2 linked regions of the Caenorhabditis elegans genome follow. The protein of the gene in region 1 interacts with the protein of each later gene in a pairwise test. Each region holds a gene or a part of one and is shown in the gene's direction. Other genes may lie near its edges. The genes, in order: tam-1 and ephx-1.

Region 1 (12,318 bases):
TTGGAATTTCTAGGAGATTTAGTGAAAAATAGAGTATCTTCAGTAGGAAAGCTGCTAAAAACGACTTATAAACTGCAAAACGTTAAAACATAATTTTAGAAATAGATTTGTAGAATTTTTGAAAATTTAACAATTTTCCAAAAACTTTGACTAAAAGTTTGGACAAATCTAAAAACTTTTGGATTGCGTTATTTCGATATTTGGTTTTAGGCTTAAGCTTTGTGCTTAGACTTAGGCTGAAGCTTAGGCTTAGGCTTAGGCTTATGCTTAATTGTGTGTGTCGGAAAGATTTTAAGAATAAGGTTCCCATTATTCGAAACATTCAAAATCCAAAGTTTTCTCAAAATAAGCTCCCTTTTTTTCAAATAATTTTATTGTCAGTGGTCTCACATTTTCTAGAACAATACTAATTGGAAGTAGTATACTGCCTTCAATTCACATTGTGAATTTCACAATCAATTCATTTGACACCCTTCACTCTCAAACAAGTATAATAATGGTCGAATAATACGAGAATAATCCAAAGTCTCTCTTCTCTATTTGTAATGTCGGTCTCTTTATCTGGTCACCATCACCCACGACCCACGAGATCTAATTTATTCATTACGTGCAATTGTCTCGGGACCTCCTTTCTTTAACACCCATATAAAGGCATATGGGAGGCACCATGTACGCTCTAATTGTTTAGTGAGCCACCATCGTTGTTTTTGTTTTTGGGATATGTGACAGGACTCTTTAATAGGGATTAGGTTGGGAAATAACAATAAAATTGCTATGAAATTATAATAATTGGATATTTGTGAACCACCTGTTGTTCAAAATACCTTGAATTATTTAATTAAAACTTCATAAACCTGTGAAATTTCTAAATGTCCTCGGCATGTTCCACTCAAAATTTCATCAAAGTACAAAATAGCATTTCCCATGATTGTTTGAAATTAGGTTCGGTTTTAGAGTGAAATTGCATTTTCTGTTGGTATGTAAATTACTCCACTTGTAGTAATTTACATATAATGTGACTTTGCATAAACTTGGTGTGAAAAGAGCGTATGCAAGCCTCTCCCAAAAATTTTGGTGAACGGAACCCGAAAGATGTTGGTTGCTGTATAATCTCACACTACCGTATACTCGTGTTGCACCCAACTACTTCACTATAAAAGCTTATATCTCGGTTCATTTGAGAGATATCAATAAACTCTAAACTGCAAATCTAAAGAAAAAGAACTAACAAATATTTTGCCAGTTGGCATTTTTTTAATAGAACAAATGGCAACTGAGATATTCGCTGTCAAAGTTGAACAGTGAAACAGGGAACTTTTTGGTACCTTTTTCAATTTTTGTGATGCACGTGGTGCGAGGCTGTCCCATTAAGGTTTGATCTACAAAAAATGCGGGAATTTTTTGCCTAAAAAAATGTGCTGTCAGCACGTTTTTAAGCATGCGAAATCAGATGAGAACTCTGCTTCTCTTCTCCCGCATTTTTTGTAGATCTAAGTAGATCAAGCCGAAAAGAGACACTCTGACACCACGTGGTGAAACGAAACTGAAAAAAACGTTTATATTTCCCCTTTCACACATATAGTTCAAAACCCAAAGAACCGCAGGCTAATTTCAATTTCAATAGCGAAAGCGGAACTATACAACATTGGTGGTGGTGGTATTCTTCGTCTCGTTCTCCAAATTCTATTCAAATTCATTTCTTCTCAGGCGTCTCTCTTCAGCAATCTTTTCATAACATATAAACCTCAATCATTTGTCATTTTCCTCTGCAATTTCCTGTCTGGTTCGCTTGTGAAATAGCTATTTTATGTCTTTTCTTATATTTGTGGGATTATAAGAAGAGTTTGGATTTTGATTGCCGTAGGAAATTGGAGCCAAAAACATATTTTTCGTTGATCTTTGAGATTTGAGATATTTGGCTCCAGTTTCTCAAAAAATCGACTTTAATGATTTCCCAGTTATTCCAAATTCTCACCCCTCACAACCCAATGTGTGAGTTTACAACCCCAATTACTGTGTAATTATCTTTCCCATTTCATCTCCTCCCCCAAGATCTGACCAGTCCCAATCTTTCTCTACTTCTTCACGTCTCCAACATCTTATCACTCTTCATATCTCTCACTCCCTTTGCCCCGGTTTTCTCTAAATCTCCTCTCTCTCGAGTTCTTGTCTCGATGACATTACAGTTTTTGTTATAGTGTGTACACCACCGGCTGTGATGAAGAACAGAACTCGAGAATTTCTTCCTCAGAGTTCTCAATTTTTTCCTCTATTTAAACATCTGATTTCCTAATTTTTCATGGTCACTAGGTTTAGGTTTCCAACTATTTTTCCCACTCTACTCCACCTCCCACCTTCTCTATATAATCCTTCTATTTATAAATTAATCGCAAAACGAAATAACATTTTCATTTTCACTTCGTACTCGTCATTCTTAGTCACAACAATCAGAACCAGCCCTATTTCACTACTAATTCCTTCAAGCGAGAGTGACGATGATCGGTAAGGTGGCCTGTACCGACCTTCAACCTATTTTAATTGTTTGTAACGTCGTTGTGGTGGTGGTGACGATGTCTATAATTAGAAATGGTCCTGGGAGATATCTGATGAAAAATCTGAATTTCCCGGAGCTGTCTGTCGCAAATGTCGCATGAAGTTAAATCCCGTTGCAAATTATTGATTCAAATATATTTTCACGTCATTTTTCAACTTTTCAAGGGCTGAAACCTCTGCAGTTTTTCCCAATCACTTAATTGAACTCTGACCTCAATTCCCTATTCCTTTCAGGTGTGGAATTGTCTTATCATTCCCTATCTGAAATCACATGTGATAGACTATCAAAAAAATTTCCACTCAGTTCTTCTCTGATGCAATAGTCATCATCGTTTTTTTGTTCAATATTCAACCAAGAAATAATCCCATTCAATATTATGTTTTGACACACAAATCGCATATGTCTTATCATTTTCAATGCATTTTGTCAAAAGAGACCCCTAGAGGGTATTAGAAAGACGAGTGGAATGGAAATTTTTGTACCCCCATCCTCACCACACAAGTCTCCAGACACATACACTCTGTATTGTTGCACAATGCCACTCTCTTTGTTATTTTCCTTTTTAAAAGCTATTACGCAATTGTGTTATTGATGTGTAATCAATGTGATCACAAAATAATAACATTGCATCAGTATTGTTGTCAACTGAAATGTTTTCCTAGCGGAATTAGAAACATGCTCTCTCTCTCTCAACAACGTAAAAGACGACGATAAGAATCAATATTATGATTTGACCTATTCTGCGTCTCTAAGCACACAGATGTTTTTGTCAAACATCAGAGCGACGGTGCCGAGGTATTCGTTCGTCTGTCATCATCGGTCTTCTTCTTCTTCTCACTTCACAACGTTTTTATTAAATTTCCATCCTTTTCTCTAGTTGCCTCTTCTTCGACGCCTGCAACCTCTCTCCTCTCGCCATAAAATCATCTAAATTGAGCCTCCACCAGCACTTCAATTTGCATTCCATTCCCTCCGGTGTCTTGGTCCAACTGCTGTTATGTATTCTTCGCAATTACCGAACACCTTTTGTCTTTAAGGAAGTCATGCTCTCTGTCGAGCAGCTGTGTGGTGGTTGCTTTAATCCGAGCCACCACGGCTCGCGCGCGGAGAGCTCAATGAAAAATAATCATGACCCTCGGTGGCTGCTGCCGCCCCGTGGGATGTGTCTGCCGGACGGGAAGGTTCGTTTTCTTCCCCCCGTCTCGGTGTAAACCAATAGAGAAGTGGTGGAGATTATCCCGGTGCACACACACACACACATACACATATGACAGACAACCATTCTCATCGATTTTCCGTCTTCGTTTTTCGTCACCATTTCTTTCTTTCCAACTGCGAGACCTATTATCCTATTATCGTGGTCCCCCCTGAAACAATCGAAGCGAGGAATAGACGCGTTGTCTTTTCACTTGATTCATGCACGCACAATTTGATGAATATATGACCCGACTCTTCTTCTTCTTTCCACTCTTTTCTCACTTTAATTTTCGTCGGCTCTCTTATTTTTCTGGGTTTTTATTCATTCAATCTCGCAATTTTTCAAAAAATTGCCAAAAACTACTGTATTTCTAAAGGCGCATGGACCATTGTTGAATTTGGTTCTCGCCACGATCTGAACTACGGTTGATGATTAAGCCGAAATTGATCTATTTTTCTCCAACTTTCGTCAATGAATCATAGTTTTTACAAAAAAAAATTTTGGAAGTATGTTTTAAATTCATTTATTCAATAATTTGAATTCAGTTTGAAAATAGAATACGATTTTTAACACAAAACTCAAAAAAAAAATCGCAAAACCCTACCGTACATTTTAAAGGCGCATGACCCAATTTATAATTTGGGTCTCGCCATGATCAAACTACGGTTGATTAATAAACATTTTTTATTTTTCTTTTTCTCCGATTTTTTCCACTTTTCCGCCGATGAATCATCAATTTTCATCAATAAAATGCCTGAATACAACTTAAAAAAATTATTTTACAATATTTTCTCGTGTGTTTGCCCAGAAAATGACATTTTTCAGTCTTTTTTTCGTAATATCACAAAAACAAACTTTTTTTTTTCTTGCAGCGCGAGATTCTTCTTATTTCGTAAATAGCATTTCGAAATTTTTTAGTCTTTTCGTATTTTTCACAGCGAAAACATCAAAAGAGATCACTCACTCACAAAACAAATTTCCTCCAGTCTTTATTGATTTAGACAGCAATTTTCTCAATCATAAACACGCCATCTCTCGTGCACCCTCATCCTCATCCACCCAAAAAGCCCCTTTTCATCGCAAAGTGCTTGTTTTGTCTGTGTCTCTCTCTGTGCGTTTTCCTCTCTCACTTTTTGATTCTTTGCAACTACGCCCCACAGCGTTCTCCCCGTTCGTTTTTCAAACATTATTGATTTTTCTCATTTTTTTTCAGGGTAATTTGGATTCCGCCTGACGGGCAAATCGGGTTCAAAACCGATTATTCACATTTTTATTGGAATATTTGAATATATTTTTGTATAAATAAAAAGCAATAATGGACATTCCGGGCACAAGTGGTACCAGTAATTATGTAAGTTTGTGTGAAAATAAAAATGATTAAAATCAATATAATTTTTGAATTTTCAGCAACAATGGGCTCACGTCGTCGAATGCCCGATTTGCTACAACATTTATGATAAACCGATGCAGATGGGATGCGGACACACGCTATGCTCAACGTGTATTGGAAGATTGGTAGGTTGATTGATAATTTTGAGCTTTTTCAGGTCGAAATGGTCAAAATTTGAAGGGAAAGTTATATTTTCTGCCGTTTTTTTAAACAAAATTCTCAGTTTTTTGCTTTTTTTTTAACAGAAAAAGGTAATTTCTGAGATACAAATCACATTTTCAGGCATTTTCATGTCATTAAAGCGTTTTTGAAGTTAAAACCACGCTTTTTCTCGAAATTCGACTTAAAAAATGTCATTGTTCTGACATTTTCAGTGATTTTGAGACGCTTGGAGCTAAAATTCATATATTTTTACTGATTTTCCACTTAAAAGTTCAATTTCTTCTTGAAATTTGAGAAAAAAAAAACGATTTTTATGTTTTTCTGAAAGTTTTCACAATTTTCTGCAATTATTAAACGTTTTCCTATGAAAATTAATGCCAAAATATAGAAAATCACTTGGTTTATCGGGAAGTAACATTTATTTCAGCTGAAACATTGAGGAATTCGCCAATTTTGAGCACTTTCTTTGAGATTTTATGTGGAAAAATGATATTTTCAGATAAATCAACTGATTTTCTATATGTTGAACTATTTTTTGATAAAAAACGTGATAAAATTGGTAATTTACCTGAAGTGACCTCTAGAAAACGCGTGGCAACCTTATTTTACAAAATAAATTTGCTATTTTCTAGCAAATTTTCATATTTTTAACTTCTTCCATCTCCAATGAAACTTAAAATTACAGGTAGATCAAGTGAAAACCAACATGGCAGAAGAACTCGGCCGCCCACGTGGCCCACTTCTACATCCCGACGATATAGGTCCAGGCTTCGGAGGCCTTGGCGGGTTTGCCGATCAGGAAGATCAACCACATTTCATAGATCTTCCCCGTCTAGATCCACGAATGAACCCAAACGATCCGAATATGGTGCGTGGAATTGTAGTCCTACCGAGACGTGGACCAGAAGCTCGCGCCACAGAGATCAAGTGTCCAGAGTGTAGAAAGCCGACGCTGGTGCCGGCGGATGGCCTACCTGTCAACTATCGAGTTCAGGAAATTGTGCAAAAAGTTGCTCCACTCTTCAAGGATCGCCATCTGGTCAAGCTGTGCAATCAGTGTGAAGCTGTTCTCAGTCAGGGTGTCTATTTCGATTGTTCACAGTGTGAGGAGACTGGCCGAAAGATCTGTTCGACATGCGCGATCCGATTGCACAATGGACATCAGCTGGTTGAGAAGAAGGCGCTGACGTCGGATGATGTTCGAGAGATGAAGCAAAAGATCAGTGATGCATCACATGCTGCATTTCAATCGCTTGAAAATTTGAAGCCAAGACTGCAATCTGTTGGTGGAACTATAGAAGCAAAAGCTTTAGATGTGAGTTTCAGAGTTCATAGAAAAAAAAAAAAAAAAATTTCAGAAGCTCACCTCGCTCATCAAAATCTTCGAGTTCATGCTCAGCACATTCGATTCGAAGATCAAGGAGAATTCGACAATGGACGAGCTGATGGAGGAAGTGAAAAAGGCGGAAAAAATTTCAAAAGTCTACTCGGAAGCTGGTGGACGTGTTGATGTGATGCTTACGGCTATCGAATCGGCGTTCAATTCCTATTGGGATCCTTTTGAGGTTTGTTGATTAAAAAAATATACAAAAATCTACAACAATCTTGTTCCACAATTTTTTTTTCGCTCAACTGGAACACGAAAGAAAGTAAAAAAAAACAAATTTTTATTTTTTTTTTAAACGTTTCTCCACACTCAGGATTTTATTTTCAGAAACTCAAGCAAGAAATGGGATTCCAAATCGACGAGCCTACTGGTTCAGTGAATCAGATTCCTGCCTCGGAGGGAGGAGCCGAACGAGTGAACGAGGTCGCAGCTCCCGCAGCAGGCAGACCTATTCCACAGAATGCCAGAAATTTACGAGGCGCGCTCAATCATTTCGCACAAGTGGCTCGTAATCGAAATCGTCAGGCGCGAGGAGTCCAGCAGCAGCAGGATCTTCCATTTCTCCCACCACCACCACCACATCAACTTGTGATGCCTCCACCCGCGATGCCTCCACCACAACATATGCAGGCCCAACGGCTCTGGGGAGGTCCACAACCACAACGGATGAATCAACCAATGATGGCTCAAGTTGGTGGGCGCCCGGGACAGTACATTATGGGCCATCCTCCACCGATGCATCATCAAATGCAACAAGGTCCACCGCGTATGATGTATATGCATCAGCAACATCATCCGATGCATCAGGTGGAAGATCAGATGCAGCGTCAGCATCAACGAATGCAGCAACCGAACATGAACAATATAATGCATGGAAACATGCAAATCGCATTCCAACAGCATATGCACAACAATGCCAATGTTCCGATGCCACCGCAAATGCCAGCTCATCCACAGCAACAGCAGCAGCAACGTCATCCCAACGAAGGGCAGCAATTCCAACAGGGACCACCGCCACCACCACCACAACGTATACAGAATCATCAACAGCAGATGCAGCAGTATCATCAGCAGCTTCAAGTGCAGCAGCAACAACAGCCGCAACCACGTGCGCAACCGTTCAGACCGCCAATCCAGCAGCAGCAGCAACTGCAACAAATTGATCTACAAGCGATGAACGATCGACAATTCCAACAGTTGGCTGATGAAATCGTGGCGGAGGATCAAATGGTACAAAATGCTGTCGATCCAGCAGCACCCGCTGACATTCCTCGTGAGTAGCATGCAATTATTTTTTGATCTACTAATAATACTAATTTTTGACTATACTGGTATTGTAATATATTGTTGATTCTTATTGTGGTGTCGAAACATAAACGAGTATGATTTCAAGGTTCTCTCGCAAACAAAAAAAATTATTTTAGGTGCCGATTGGGAAGAGATACAAGTTGCTCAACGAGGCGCCGGCGATTTTGGAATCAATTTTCATCCGGAACCGATAGTTGAGGAAGTGGAGGAAGAACAACCGGAAGTCGATCAGCAAGTTGTTGTTAATGGACAAGTCGTTGAGAATTATCGTGCCGGAGATATCAATAATGTCATTCATTTCGAAGAAGTTCCCGTGGTTTTAGAGCCAGATGTTGATGGTAATGTGGACCATAATAATGGAATTCTGGAGAATAACGTTGAAGAACAAGAACAATTCGATGATGTTCCACCGCAGATTAACAATTTTGTGGAGTTTGATGATATGCGCGAGCAAGTCGATGCGATAGAAGACGAGGAATTTGAGCCGGTGCTCCACAGAGCGGCGATAGAATTCCAAGAAGCAGCGGATCAGGATGCTCTAGAGCAAGATGTTCGGGAGCGTAATTTACTGGATCACGAAGCCGAGAACGAGGAGGAAGACGACGGTGATCTGCCTTACGAGGAAGAGGACGACGAGGAAGAAGAAGTTCATGTTCGTAACTCAGTTGTTCGTCGTCGCGTCCAGCGCCCACGAGATGCGGCGCACATTTCGGAAGTTGAAACAAGACGCTCTGCTCGCAGGCTTGCCAGGAATTCAAACAATCCGACTGATGAACCATCCACGTCTTCTGGAGCCGCCGGTCCATCAAATCGCCCACCACATTCTCCGACTCCACCACCTGGAAACAAAAGAAGAAGGGTTGATAGAAAACCGAAGACTGAAGAACCAGAACAAATGGAAACTGAACCAGTCGATCCTGTTCATCGTGCGCCAAAGTGAGTTGAGATTGAAATTGGCGATATTGACTTTCTTAATTATCGATTTTTAGGCGTCGTGGTACTTCTGCTGCATCGTCTTCCTCTAATGGAATGCCTTCGTCGTCTGCTCCAACAACTCGTAGCCAAACTCGTCTATAAATAATAATCTTCTCATTTCGTCTAATCACCTCATCCATGCTTTTATTCTGATTTTTGTCCATAATTTTCACCTATTGTTCTAAAGCACATTTCCCCCATTCATTCTTTCCCCTTTTATTCACCGTCATGAATTCTCTACGGTTTAGATGCTAGATGCTCTCTCTCTCCTCTTTCTTCTTATATACTTGGTATCTTCTAAAACTCTTTGCGGATCATTTTTTTCTCTACACGCTTTACACTTATCATTTCGATTTTCGTTACATCTTTTTTCTGTAAGCCTCATTTCTACTTGCATCTGATATATTTCAACTTGTTAAGGATTGCAAGATAATGTTTTGTATGTTCGCTAATAATGTTTTCATCATAAAAGTTTTCAGCATTTATTGAACATGCACGTGACAACATGGAAAATTTCAAACAGTTCCCGTGCGAGCCTGCACCGGTAAAATCGAATTTCCATGTGACTTTTTGAAAATTGTAGTGAATGAATTGAATATGGAAGAAATCGATTCTCGAATTGCATTTCGATAGCTTCTTACAATAATTAGTGTTGGAAGAGGATCAAGTGCAGGAAAAATGGCAGTTGTTATTGTGGTAATTCCAGTTAAGGAGCCGATATTTATTCGAAGAAATGAAAATGTGTATAAAGCAAATGCTGGAGTATGCACCAGAAATAATGGAATTAGTGTTTGAGCCACCAATGAATAGAACAATTGATTTTGCAGATTTTGAATGTGTTTCGACGATTCGATTTCTTTGAATTTCTGAAGGGATGTGTAGCATTTAAAACCGAAATAAAAAATGACAGACACGGAAATTATCTGAAAGAAGATTTAGAAGATTTATTTAAAAAAAATTCCGATTAATAATATTGATCCGGTTAATAATCCGGTTAACCCGGTTAATAATATTGAAAATACTCCAAGAATATTTATTTAAATTCAAAATGTCATTACAGGAAATTTTAAAACTCAAAATTTTTCAATTCTTGTTAATCTTTATGTTTGGAGTCATACTGGTTGGTCTTGAGTTTTGAGCTAAGCCTAAGCCTAAACCTAAGCTTAGGCGTACGCATAAGCCTAAACCTACGCCTAAGCATAGGCCTAAGCGTAAGCCTAAGCAAGGCCTAAACCAAAACTGAAGACTAAGCCTTCGCCAAAGCAAAAGCATAAGCCTAAGACTAAGCCTAAACCAAGCCTAAGTCTAAGCCTAATAATCTGAAACTCAGGAAAAAACCAAAAAAGAAAAACGACAAGAATTGAAAATTACGGATCATTTTTTTTTAAGTATTTACTTTCGTAAAATTCTTGCGTAAATCTGCCAACTCACCACAGTCACAGTTGTTGCAAAAATTGTCACAAAAGATGGATAGTAAATGTCCGTAGTACCATCTTCATTTTTTTCATAAAAATACGGCGCAATGTATACATTCTCTGTCACCTCCAAACCAAACTCTTTCAAAATAAATTCTCTGAAAAAATGTCACGAGGTTCGGGGTAAATCAATGTATACTGGAAGGTGTTACCTTAGGAACGCATCAGTACTCGGTCGCGGTGAGCAAGGAAAATACGCGGCAATACCCCACATAGTTCCAACTAATATTGATGGTAGAAGCCACCAAAATATTCTGACTCCTTCGAATGTTTTGATTGAATTGTTGCCGCTCACTGCCCAGAATCGATATATAAACTGTACGCTGAACATGACCATCAGTGATCCAAAAAATGCGCAACACAGGGCTGAAAATCAAATATTCCATTCTTATTTCACCTAGGCATTCTCGGCAAATCAGCCCGGTGGATTGTCTATACACTTTTTGATAAACTTACAAACTAAAAGTAACAAAACATCATAGCTCAACAAAGAATCTCTGACATTCACAATCATCACAAACGTTGAGCCGAAAGAAGTAAAAGTCTGAAAAAGCACAAAAAAGTTGTTGAATGTTCTTTTTAAAGCTTTTACCGGTTTAACAAGAACCTCTAAAACCGAATAGATAATTTCAAACATAGCAATTAGAATAAGCAAATTTTTGTATGTACCCAACGCTTTTGGAGACTTTTTTGCGACTAAAAGTACCACCAACGAGTTTAGGAATAGTGAAATTGAAGCTCCGAATATTTGAGAGAATTTTTGGAGTTTTTGCCATTCAGACATAATTCTTATTTTATTATCAATCAGAATAATAGTAGTTTAAGCGTTTCGGGTGGTTTAAGTAGGCGCGAATAAAGAACTAAAAACAAAAACTATACATTTGAGCCCTTGAGAATTGGCTTCTCTATATATTTTGAAAACACGCTAAAACGGTTTGTCTGATTATCAAAATACGATATAATCGTCTGAAATAAGATCATTGGGAGTTTTTGTTAGTAAAAACAAAAACATCGGATCTGGGAATTAAAATCTGGGGATCGGGGTTCTGACGTAAATTAAAAGTGGCGCCAACCGTATTACATGGTAATTTTTATAACCGTGTGCTTCGCAATTTAGGATACGACCAGCGCTCATAAAGAATATTCAAATTAATTTAAGAATAACATGCCTTATTCCCCATATTCTGAGAAGCAAAATGTGATATCAAACTCCAATCTAACCAATCTGTTTCGAAGCTTGAAAACCCCAAAATATGTAATCTGCCAAAACTTTGTATGTGTGAGAGTGAATTATGAATTGGCAAGACTTCCAGGAGTCCATATTTTGACAAATCACAAAGTTTTACATGTTAAATAAATAGAAAAATGTGTCAGCTATCAACAAAATAATGAATTTTTGTCTCAAAATGCTCTAATCTCTAAAAAATCCAGGTTTTGTGTGCGCAACTCTATTATCAATAATTACGAGCTTTTTGATATTTTTTTTACCTGTTGTGTTTTTTGAATTTGAACAAGGTTGTTAAAAATGTTTGTGATTTGAACATTAATTAATCACCAGAAACAACTCGAACAAAAATATTTCACAATTTATTCATTCGATAAGTTCCAAGTACATTATCATTATCAAGCCACAGATTTCATTTCCACACTGCCACAAGTCGCCGAGGTTGCACAAATCGATGAATTTGCTGGAGCAACATCATTCTTGCCAATGCAAAAGTTTCAGTAATGTGGTACAAAGAAGATGTATGCAAATGGGGAGACAACTGGAGCCAACATGAAAGAAATCGTGATGGCGTACTGTACAGTGTCAGGTCGCGTGGATTGGGAGTACATGGCGAGGAAGGAAGGAAGAAGAAAGAAGACACC
Region 2 (10,541 bases), on another chromosome or scaffold:
TGCCTCAAGCATGCCTACCTAGATAATGTTTACCACTTTACATTCACTTGTTTACGTGAACTTTGACCGTAGGTACCTGAAAAGCAACGAGGCAGATGTAGGTCGCCTTATTAGATACAGGCAAGCCTAGGACCAAGGGTGCGCGGCAATTGCCGAACGGCAATTCTACAAAATGAGACGGTTGGGCATGTTTCCCCGATCTTTTTTATTAAAATTTGATGATACAATATAGAAAAATATTTTCTCTATCTGAAAATGACTTTTATTTGACTTGAAACAACCGAGAAAGTGTTCAAAAATTGTCCGAAAGCTGAAAATTGCCGTCAATTTTTCGGAAATTTTTATCGGCAATTTTCAACTTTCGGACAATTTTTGAACACTTTCTCGGTTGTTTTAAGTCAAATAAAAATCATTTTCAGATAGAGAAAATATTTTTCTATATTGTATCATCAAATTTTAATGAAAAAGATCGGGGAAACATGCCCAACCGTCTCATTTTGTAGAATTGCCGTTCGGCAATTGCCGCGCACCCCTGCCTAGGACGCCTTAGAAACAGGCAGGTGAGGTCACCTCGAAGTCAACCAGGCGTCGATGTAGGTAACCTCTAAGGCAAAAGGGCACTTGTAGGTCGTCTAGAATACAAACGTAGGTAGGTCTGAAGGCAGGTAGGCGTAGGCCTGCCAAAACTGTCTGTATTTTTTTAAAGTAACTGTGTTCTGAAAATTCTTCAAAAAATGAGTATGAGAATGCCTAAAAGACTTAGAAAATTTCAAAAATATTTTAAATTCCAAAAAAGAAAATTTCAGAAAGTTCCCAATATTTTTCTTTTCCGAATCCTCGCTTTAAAATGGGCGATAAAAATCTCCAAAACGTTTTTTTTTCTTTCAAAAAGTTCAATTTCTCGCAATTTCCCGCCTCCCATATATCTTGTCACCTTTGGCACCGAAGCGAGCCGCTTCTCTCTCAAAAGTCAATTGATATATTTAATAGAGTGCAGCGGTAAAATCTTTACACATTTCGTACGAGAGCACTTGGCACTGGGACATTGTAAATTGAACAGGAAAATAGAAATAAAACTATTATAGATTCGCAACAAATAGTCCAATTGACCATCAAATTTTAATACAATAACCACCGAATTGTCTTCCAGCTGACTGAGCACCTGTACGGAAACGATTTGATTCTTTTGAGAACGAGGAAAAGGGAGTGTGAACTTGTACATTTGCATGTCGTACTACTACATTTCCTTTCACTCTCTAAATCTCTCGTCTCTTCTACTATAAATCCCTTGAGGGTTATGCAGAAAGACCAATCCCCCCTCTCACTCGAAACCTCTCTTTTACACAATCGGCGTGGGCTGTTTACTTTTCATTAGTATCAACAACAGTGTTTCAGTTTTCGGTTCTTTTGAACTTTTATTTTGATTTGGAGAATATTTAGTGCAAGCACGTGGTGTCAGGTTGCCCCATTACAATTTGATCTACGAAAAATGCGGGTAATTTTTTCCCAAAAAATGTGACGTCAGCACGTTTATATCCATGTAAAATCAGTTGAAAAGACAGCGTCTAAATTCCCGCAATTCTTGTAGATCAAACCGAGATGGGACATCCTGACGCCACGTGGGCAAGCTTATTAAGCTAAATTTGCTTTTTGAAAATTTTTAGAATTTTTCGTTTTTTTAAGAAAAAAATTTGACATTTCTTTAGACATTTGTCTAAAGAAATTATGATACAATTTTTAGTTAAAAAACCCGATTAATTTCCAAAAAAAATTCCAGAAAAGTATAATCCCTCTAGAAATCGATAAAGTAGTCAAATATCTGAAATTGTCTTCTTTCGGAGCTAGCTTGAATATTTTTGTCAAAACCTCAAAACTTTTCAGAAAAATTTACACAATATTTTCGTACCTATAGAATTTCCAGGAACACCTAGCAGAATTTTTTAAAGTTATTTTGATCAACTAATAATTCAAAAAAAAGTTCAAAAACCGGAAAGTGTTCGAAATCATTCAAGAATGTGTGTTGTGTATCTGTGATTGTGCAAATAGTCTTTTGTTACGCTCGTTTGAAAGTTCAAATATTTGATTCTGTGTGGGAGGTCACGGGAGCACAACACCTTTTAAAATAGTAGCTAGAAAACTAGTTTTAAAACTTCTAAACTTTAAAAAAATCTGAAAAGTTCTAGTTTTGACCTTTTTCAAATACCAACCAATTTCACTTTGTCATGGCTTTTCCGTATGTGTCACCCTTCCCCTCGGAACAATATTACTCTCGACTAGCAAGCTGTTCATCAATCAAATTTCATGAGTTATGAGCGTAGATGCCATTCTGCGCTTTGTAAATACGTAAAATTCAAGGGTTAGCTTTTTATGCGATTTATACTTTTTTGAAAGTTTTGAAAGTCTGAAAATTTAGCAAAAATTCAAAAAGAAGGATATGCTTAAAGCCCTAAGAATTTTTCGTTTTAACCTTGAGGATTGGTCGAAATTTAATGAAGGTCGAAGAGAAGTCTGAAATTTTGGAATTAGATACTTAGATACTGGAGACGAGCCTAAGCATAGTCCTGAGCCTAAGAATAAGCCTAAGCCTGAGCCTTTAGACTTTCTTGTGAAGCCTGAATCTAACTAGTAACCCTCCTAATAAGCATGAACTCTGAGGTAGAAGTGGTGCTCTTGAAGCATAAAAAAACAAAAAAACTCAAGTGCAATATTGCAATATCCATTTCGTAGTCCTCTCGAATGTCACTCACCCATCAACATTGTGCTCGCGGTCAGTAAATGCAAATTGCAATCCTTGCCTCCCGTATGTTTTTCACACATTTTCCTTATCCATCTGCGTCTCCTCGTCTCCCGATTCTCGCGCATTGACCACCACTGACCATGGTCTCGCAGGAGAAAAGGCGCTTCCTGTCGTGTGTTCTGCTCATTGTGCAGCACTTTTGAAGATTTTGCAAAATGCATATTTACTAGGAGAAGCTTTGTATAAAAATTTCACTTACCATTTAACCTCACTTCAGAAAAAGAAATGTAATTGACCCCCATTTTTCAAGGTTTCTTTGTTGTTAGAGTCTATTGTACTAACTTTTTTTATTCTTTTAAGTACTTCACACATTTCTTTGGCAAATTGGAAAAATGTTGAAAAGGGGGTCTGTATTAAGTGCTGGTCTGGAAGTAGCCATTACATAGCTGAAGCAAAGTAGCCGAGACGGCTAGGTCGACAGACTAGTTCTGTTCTTTCTGAATAAGCTTTTAAGAAATATTTTTATAGTTTGCTTCTAATTGTAATGGCGCTCGGCAGGCACTAGGCATGCACTAGGCAGACACTAGGCAGGCAGAAGGTAGGTTCTAGGCAGACATTAGGCTGGCACTAGGAAAGCACTCTGTAGGTCGTAGATAGGAAGTGCCAAATAGGCACTAGGCAGGTGCTAGGCAGACACTAGGCAGGCACTAGGTAGGCATTAGGTAGGCCCTAGGCAGACACAATGTAGGCAACCCCTCCTCGGCTTATCATTCCCAAAAGCTCTTGAAAAGGAAGATGTTTTTTTCATCATGAAAATTTTTTCCGCGATTTTTTGGGGAAGTGTGTATGTGGTGCGCAGTATAAACATTCGCCCCAATCATCATCAATATTATTGTGCTCTTTTTCCCACTTGCTCTCTCGGGGGGCTCCACTCACACATTCAAATGTTGAATCAAGCGATTAACCCATCGAGAGTTGTTGCATGCATCTCCTCTGTTTTCTTTTCCTCTTTTTCTCGCTTTTTTTGAAAAAAAAACTCTATTTTTAGATTAATAAAACATAATCAAATAAATATATGAAATTTACAGTGTCTGGGGGTAATCTGAGCCAAAATCTAATGTCCAATGCACCATCAACGACGACATCAGAAGCCCAGAAGATCGCGACAACGACGACGACGACGAAAATGCGATTGCCCAGTGTTAAGGAACTTGCCAAGAGGTAAGACAGCATTTTTTATAGGATTTTGTAGAGTGTAGAGATATTTTAAGGTTACTGTAGAAGTGGTACTATAAGGTTTTTGGGGTACAGTACTGCAGGGTAGTAGGGTATAGTAGGGACACTGTGGGGGTACTGTAGGAGTACGGTAGGAATACTGTAGGGTACTGTAGGAGTGATATAGAGGTATTGTAGAAATACTGTAGGGTGGACTACTTCAGGGGTACTGTAGGTACTGTAGGAGTACTGTAGGGGCAGTGGGAGGCTTTCACAGATGTAGTGCCGGTAAGGGCACTGTAGAGGAACTGTAGGAGTACTGCAGAAGTGTTGTAGGAACCTGTTCGACTATTTTAGGAGTACTGCATAGGTACTGAAGGGACAAAATGAGGCTTTTACTGTAATAACATCTGTAGTACCAGTTTAGGGTACTGTAGAGGAACAAATTGGAGTACTGTATAGGTATTGTAGGAGGATAACTGTATGGGTACTGTATGAGTACTCTAGGATAACTGTAGGGGTACTGTAGGAGTACTGTAGCTTTTTCCCACTTTGTACGTGTCATCGTTGCTTATTTTCAGCCAAACTTTTACCAAACATTTATTTTTGAAAAACTGTCCCCGCCTGCTTGTTGACACATAGATTCTATCCATTTTTTCAAAAAATATTTATTTAAGTTTAATTTTGGCAGCTCATATCTAAGTTGTCATAGTTTTTTATCAAAAAGTTCTTAACTGAGAAAATCTTGGTTTTAAATTTTCCAATAGTTTTGCAATTGACCAATTTTGGATATTTTTGAATTTCACCGGAATATACATAAGCTGCCAAAGTGTAGAACACAAAATTTTCATACCAATAGAATAACCAGCTAGAAAATTAACTTTTCTCTTGTCCTATGCTTCTTCGTTTAAAAAAAAAGTTTTTTGTTTATATGTCTGCAATTCAATTTCTGTATGATTGTCAAACAAATACTACTTTTCCTCCTCCTTCACACACTCACTCCAACACAGTTGTTCTCCAGCCAACAATAGCAGCACATTACCCTTCGGTTGATTGACATAATATATTGAAACCGGACAGGAAGAAAAACGGTTGAAGAAGTAAAGAGAGACCGAGGGCGTCGTCATTTCTTCCAGAAGCTTCTTCGTGGGAAAATTGTTGGAGTTTTAGAGATGGTTCGGAGAAGTTTGGCAACTTTTTATGAAGTTTTACTCTAATATCAGCTCAACTTTGAAAGCTTAAAAAAGCATTAAAAATGTTCAGAATCTTTTGGAAACTTTCTCCAACTTTCACCCAAACTTCAACTTTAGGATGTATATTATTTGGAATTTACCATCTCCTAGCTTTAGCGCCTGCCTGCCTAGGAACCTACCTACCGCATCCCTCTCTTCATTAGTACATCTCTGAAGAATTTCCAAAATGTGTATGTCTCCCCGCTCCCCCTGCCTTATCACCATCATTTTATTATTATTGTTATCAAATATTCCCACCACGCCTCATCACTGACCACTCCTTTTTACGATATGGTCATTTGGAGAGATTGTTAAACAATTTTTGAGTTTGCCGAAACGTTTCGTTTTTTGTAGTATTATAGAATGTAAAATTTAAAAAAAATTGCGCCAACCAATCAGCGACGTTAGCCACGCCTATTAGAATACGCTGATTAGTCGGCGACTTGTTGAATTTGCAATTTTAAAATTGATCTTCCAAAAGCTATTTCCGATTTCCAGATTCGAAACCAGCACAAGCCGAATTGAGCACCACAAACCGGTGATCTCCAAACGAATCGGCAAGTTCCGGGTAGTGGAAAACCTTCACGAGTAAGTAATTTTCCTCTTCAGTTTTGCTCTTAATTTGCTTGTTTTTCAGGCCGTGCACATCACGAGTGCTACGTGGAAGCGCCATACCGCGACGGAAAAGTTCGTTGAAACGACGAACGCGGAGCAACTCGGAGCTCGCCGTCCTGGTCACATCTTCTGAATTTCGGAAGAGCAAATCCACTGGCGACTTTTCACCGACGGGTGCCGGAGCATCGGGTGCTCCAATTGTGATAACACCGCTACCTGCACCTAGATTACGGTAGGTGAAATGAGGGGTACTGTAGGAGTACTGTATGACAACTTGAGGGGTATTGTGGATTACTGTAGAAGAACTGTGGGGGTACAGTAGGGCTACTGTAGGGTATTGTGGGATACTGTAGATTAATGTAAGATTACATCGTGGGTACTATAGGAATACTGTAGGTATTCTGTAGGGGTACTGTAGTAGTACTGTAGGGGTACAGTAAGGTTACTGTAGGGTATTGTGGAATGCTGTAGGAGTGATGTGGGGTACTGTAGGGGTAATTTTAAAAAATAATGTTTTTAATCAAAGTTTTAAAGTTGTTCTGAAAATTTTCAGTCTAAAACTTTATTTTAAATAATTTAGTTTGAAATACTATACAAAAATTGAACTTTTGGCAATTTTGAAGCTTTATAAATTTTACAACAATAATCTTTTACAACAATATCTTCAAATAAAATTTCAAAAAATTCAAATTTAAAAATTTCAATTCAATTTCTCTTCAAAACATTTCAGTTTCCAAAACCTTCCGGCTTTCAAAATCTTGATTAAAGTTTTGAAAAGTTACTTTTTTTACTTCAATAGAATACAATTTTATAAAAATACAAAACAGACAAATTTTTAAATAGTTCTTTATAAATAAAGCAAAATTTCAATGAAACCACTTCGAAAAACCATTAAAAATTTCAAACAAAAAACTAATTTCTAAAAAAAACTTTTTTTTTCAATTCCACCCACAGTGACTCATTTTTCGAATGTTTCAAGGTTCTCTATGATTCACGAATCAGAAATGTAAATAAGAATCCCTTTCTATTTCAGTCTTCAAACAACAAGCATGATTGTTGAAAGTTCCCCTTCTCCATCTTTCCATTCCAAAAAAGATGGTCACCCAGTGTACGAGGAGCGGTGTCGAGTGTCCTTAACAATTCCAATTTCTTCGTCAGAAGATCTTTCCGCTGTATCTCCACCACCACCTCTACCATCTGTACCTCCGTCTAAGGAGAGGATCAAGAGGATTCCTTCCTACCTGAAGCCTACTCCCGCGCCGAGGTCTATGTCTGCCACGCTGCCCAGGGCTCGTCTGAAGACCCCACCACCTCCACCCCCAGTTACCAATCAATTTGACACCCTGCCGGTCAGTTTCCGGAGCAGCTCAACATCCTCCAGCACAGGAGGTCTCCCGAGAATCCCGAATATCCCCGTCCCAGATGTCCCTTTTATTCCACTGGATGACGACAACTGTTACGATGAAATTATGCTGGTCACGCCATCATCAAACACATGTATACCTACACATCAACGTCTAGAATCCGAGTACACCTATGAATCTCAGTCTACCGACTTTTCAAGGCCGGAGCCTCCTAGAGCCTCCGGGTCAGAGCCCAATTCAAGCAGACGGGCTTATCCTCGGGATGAGGAAATCTTTGATGAAGCTGAAGAGGAGCTTCTGGAAGAACAAAGATTTCAAAAAGTGCCGGAAATCAAAGAGCGCTTCCTTTCCTCAACTCTCCAAAGGAATCCAAAATCCTCGAAAAGGATGAGCTCAATGGAGCTGGAAAAGCTGTTCAGGTTCAAGAGCGAGTTGCAGCTTAATTTGTCGAAAAAGGTTGGTGCTTTGTTTTTTTTGTTCCTTTTTGGGTATTCAGAAAACAAAACAAGAAAGACAAATCAAACTAATTCTGATTGAAGGTTAGCCAATTACGGCAGAAAGTCGGCGACAAACAAGCGAAGAGACGATCAAAGTGCCACGTCAGTGTTGATCTACTGGACACTGATTTTAGTTCTATGGTGAGTTTTTTGAGAAAAAATATCCAGAAACTAAAAAAATTTATTTAAAAAAATTTGAAGTAAGTTTTTTGAAAATAATTTCTGAAATTTCTAGGCAGTTTTTTAGAATTATTAAAAAGGTTTACTCTAAATTTTTTGAAGCAAATTTTTGTTTATTGCATTTTTAGTCAATATTAAAATTTTTTTAATAATTTCCAGGAATTTGATTTTTCATTAAAGTCTATTTTTTTCTGAAATTTCAAGTCAGTTATTTCAAAATTCTATAATTTTTAATTGAAATTTTTATAGATATTCTGTAATTTTCAATCAAATTATAATATAAAAATTTTTGGAATTTTTTGTCAAAACTTTAAAGTTTTCATGACACCTCTGATTAAATTTTTTACCTGGAACTTGAAATTTCTGGTCAAATTTTTTACATGTTTTCTAAAATTCCCAGTTAACATTTTAGTAATTTTTTTAAATAGAAATAGTAGAAAACTCCTTAGATTTTCTGAATTTTCTGGTCATAATTTTTTTGGAGTCTATGAACTTTAAGCCAATTTAAAAACGGTTTTTGAGTTTTTCTGTCAAAGTTTTAAAGATTTTTTTGAGTTTTTCAGGAAACATTTTTAAATGATTTTCTGAATTTTTTGTTGGATTTTTCGGTTGACGAATGAATTTCCAAAGTAAAAGTATCCAAAAAATTAAATTGAAATTTATGTAATTTGTTTAGGCAAATTCCGGAATTATTTCCATTTCCCTTTTTTCACATTTATTTGTTGTAATTTTTGAATTTTCCAGATGTCAAAATCGTCTTGCGTTGACAAGCCGTTCCAGGATGACGATCACATTTATGGGGATGATTGGAGCAGTGATGATGATGATATTTATCACGGTAAGCTTTTGCTAGTTTACAAATTCTTTTTTCCCCTTTTCCCTTCACTGGTTACCTCCTACCATGTCCAATTGTTGAAAAATCATGTCAACGTAGGAATTATGATCTTAGTTCCGGTGGTTTTGATTTCATCCTACTATTCACAAATGCTTACACTAAATCTATTGTCAGGGAGGTGTCGTAAGCCTACTGTAATACTAGGAATTTGCTTTTTTTGTAATTTTTTTTTTCGGAAAAAAGCCATGCAGAAATTCACAAAATACTCGTATTTCCAAGATGGAAATTGAAAACCTAATAATGGAATTATTCTCGAAAAATGTTCAAATTTTCTGTGCACGTTTTTTTTGTTTTTTAAATGATTTTTTAAAATTAAAATTGGCATAGATAAAATCTTTTGAATTTTTCAATGTCCTCAAAAATCCCGAGCTCTTCTAAAGCATTGGCTAAATTTTGTTAATTAACAACTTTTTTGCAAGCTCATGGTTGGAAAGTTTCGAGCAGCCGACACTTCACTGGTTTATATTTCATAATTAAATTTCTCATAGTGAGTAGGCGTCAATGCCTGCCTGCCGATTTTCTGTTAAACTCTGGTGTTTGGTACATGCTAGCAGGCACAAACTGCCTAACTTTGAATTTTACAAATTCCAATTAAAATTGGTACTCAAGAATGCCTTTTGTTCAACATTTGTTCAAACTTTTCAAATTAATTTTTCTCGAAACAATTGCAACAAATTAGCCAAAAAAAATAGTCCTTAAACTGTGCTAGATGATTTGAAAAATTGGAAAAAATCCTTTCAAATTTTAAAAATTTCTAAAAAACTATATCTACATATTTTTTAACTGCCTCGAAAAAGTTTTTCAACTATATGCCAAACCCAGATTTCCAGCTATTTCTTGCCCTTCCATCCCCTCTGAATCCGACTAGTAGTACAATCGGAAAACGAATAGTCACACACATACACCCAGAGACACACAACTTTTTTAATAATATCCTTCTCCTCCTCTCACCTTTTTTTTCACTTACCAAAACAATTCCTTCGCTTCTTCCGTTCCTCTGACGAATTGCTCATCGTCGTCTTCTTCACACTCTGTATACATTACGGCAAATATTGCAAAGACAGTCAGAGAGAGAGAGAGACTGAGAAAAACAAAAAAAAAGAACTGCACTTTTCTCGTTTTTTTCCTTGCTTTTCGAAAAAGGAGAGAGAGAGAGAGAGAGAGAGAAATGAAATTGTTTTCCCATATTACATATTTACAGATGACCGTCGCTCTTCTATGTACCGACAATTAGAAGAACAGCTGAACAAGGCGTTTCCGGACTACGTTTGTCGATCCCGTGAGTTACTGAATTTTCAGCTTTTTTCAGTTTCTACCTAGTTTAAAAACATTTATCCTGTCTATTAGAGAAATCTCAACACACTTTTTTCTGGTTAATTCTGAAATTTCCAATTAACAATATTCTTTCGATTGTTCTATATATTTTTAATAATAAGGTATTTTTACGAAATTTGTTGAGCATCAAGTTGAAACTACTGAAATTTATTCTTATTTTAAGCCAGAGGTCAGGCTTCAAAGAGTAGTGTATGAAATTTTCTAGAAATTTTTCAACCTACGCCAATATTTTTTTAATTTCTAATGGTGAGAAAACTTCCAATTTAATTCTTTTTTTAAGAAAAAAAAATCAAATTTGGAGTCGATTTATAGGTTTCACTAGTTTGGAGCCTAAACTCTAGCCTAAGCCTAAGCCTAAGCCTGAGCCTAAACCTAAGCCTAAACCTCGGCCTCAGCCTAAGCCTAAGCCAAAGCCTTAGTCTAAGTCTATACCTGCCTAAGTATAGGCCTCAGTCCACGACGAACTTTTAA

What was found.
Region 2: the proteins of tam-1 (region 1) and ephx-1 interact in a two-hybrid assay, tested with the Caenorhabditis elegans proteins (one large-scale study listed by BioGRID).

What each region holds. Positions count from the first base shown.
Region 1 is NC_003283.11:4,955,744-4,968,061, reverse strand, and holds tam-1 (RING-type domain-containing protein), read left to right. Parts: upstream 1-4,959; 5' UTR 4,960-5,067; coding exon 5,068-5,103; intron 5,104-5,159; coding exon 5,160-5,271; intron 5,272-5,993; coding exon 5,994-6,619; intron 6,620-6,662; coding exon 6,663-6,869; intron 6,870-7,018; coding exon 7,019-7,964; intron 7,965-8,115; coding exon 8,116-8,935; intron 8,936-8,988; coding exon 8,989-9,076; 3' UTR 9,077-9,459; downstream 9,460-12,318. Other genes in the region: str-208 (Serpentine receptor class r-10), read right to left, coding at 9,490-9,897, 10,406-10,547, 10,602-10,815, 10,906-10,993, 11,042-11,233.
Region 2 is NC_003280.10:4,001,060-4,011,600, forward strand, and holds the start of ephx-1 (SH2 domain-containing protein), read left to right. Parts: upstream 1-3,854; coding exon 3,855-3,958; intron 3,959-5,682; coding exon 5,683-5,772; intron 5,773-5,821; coding exon 5,822-6,031; intron 6,032-6,832; coding exon 6,833-7,619; intron 7,620-7,702; coding exon 7,703-7,801; intron 7,802-8,584; coding exon 8,585-8,678; intron 8,679-9,936; coding exon 9,937-10,014; intron 10,015-10,397; exon of another isoform or gene 10,398-10,450; intron 10,451-10,541.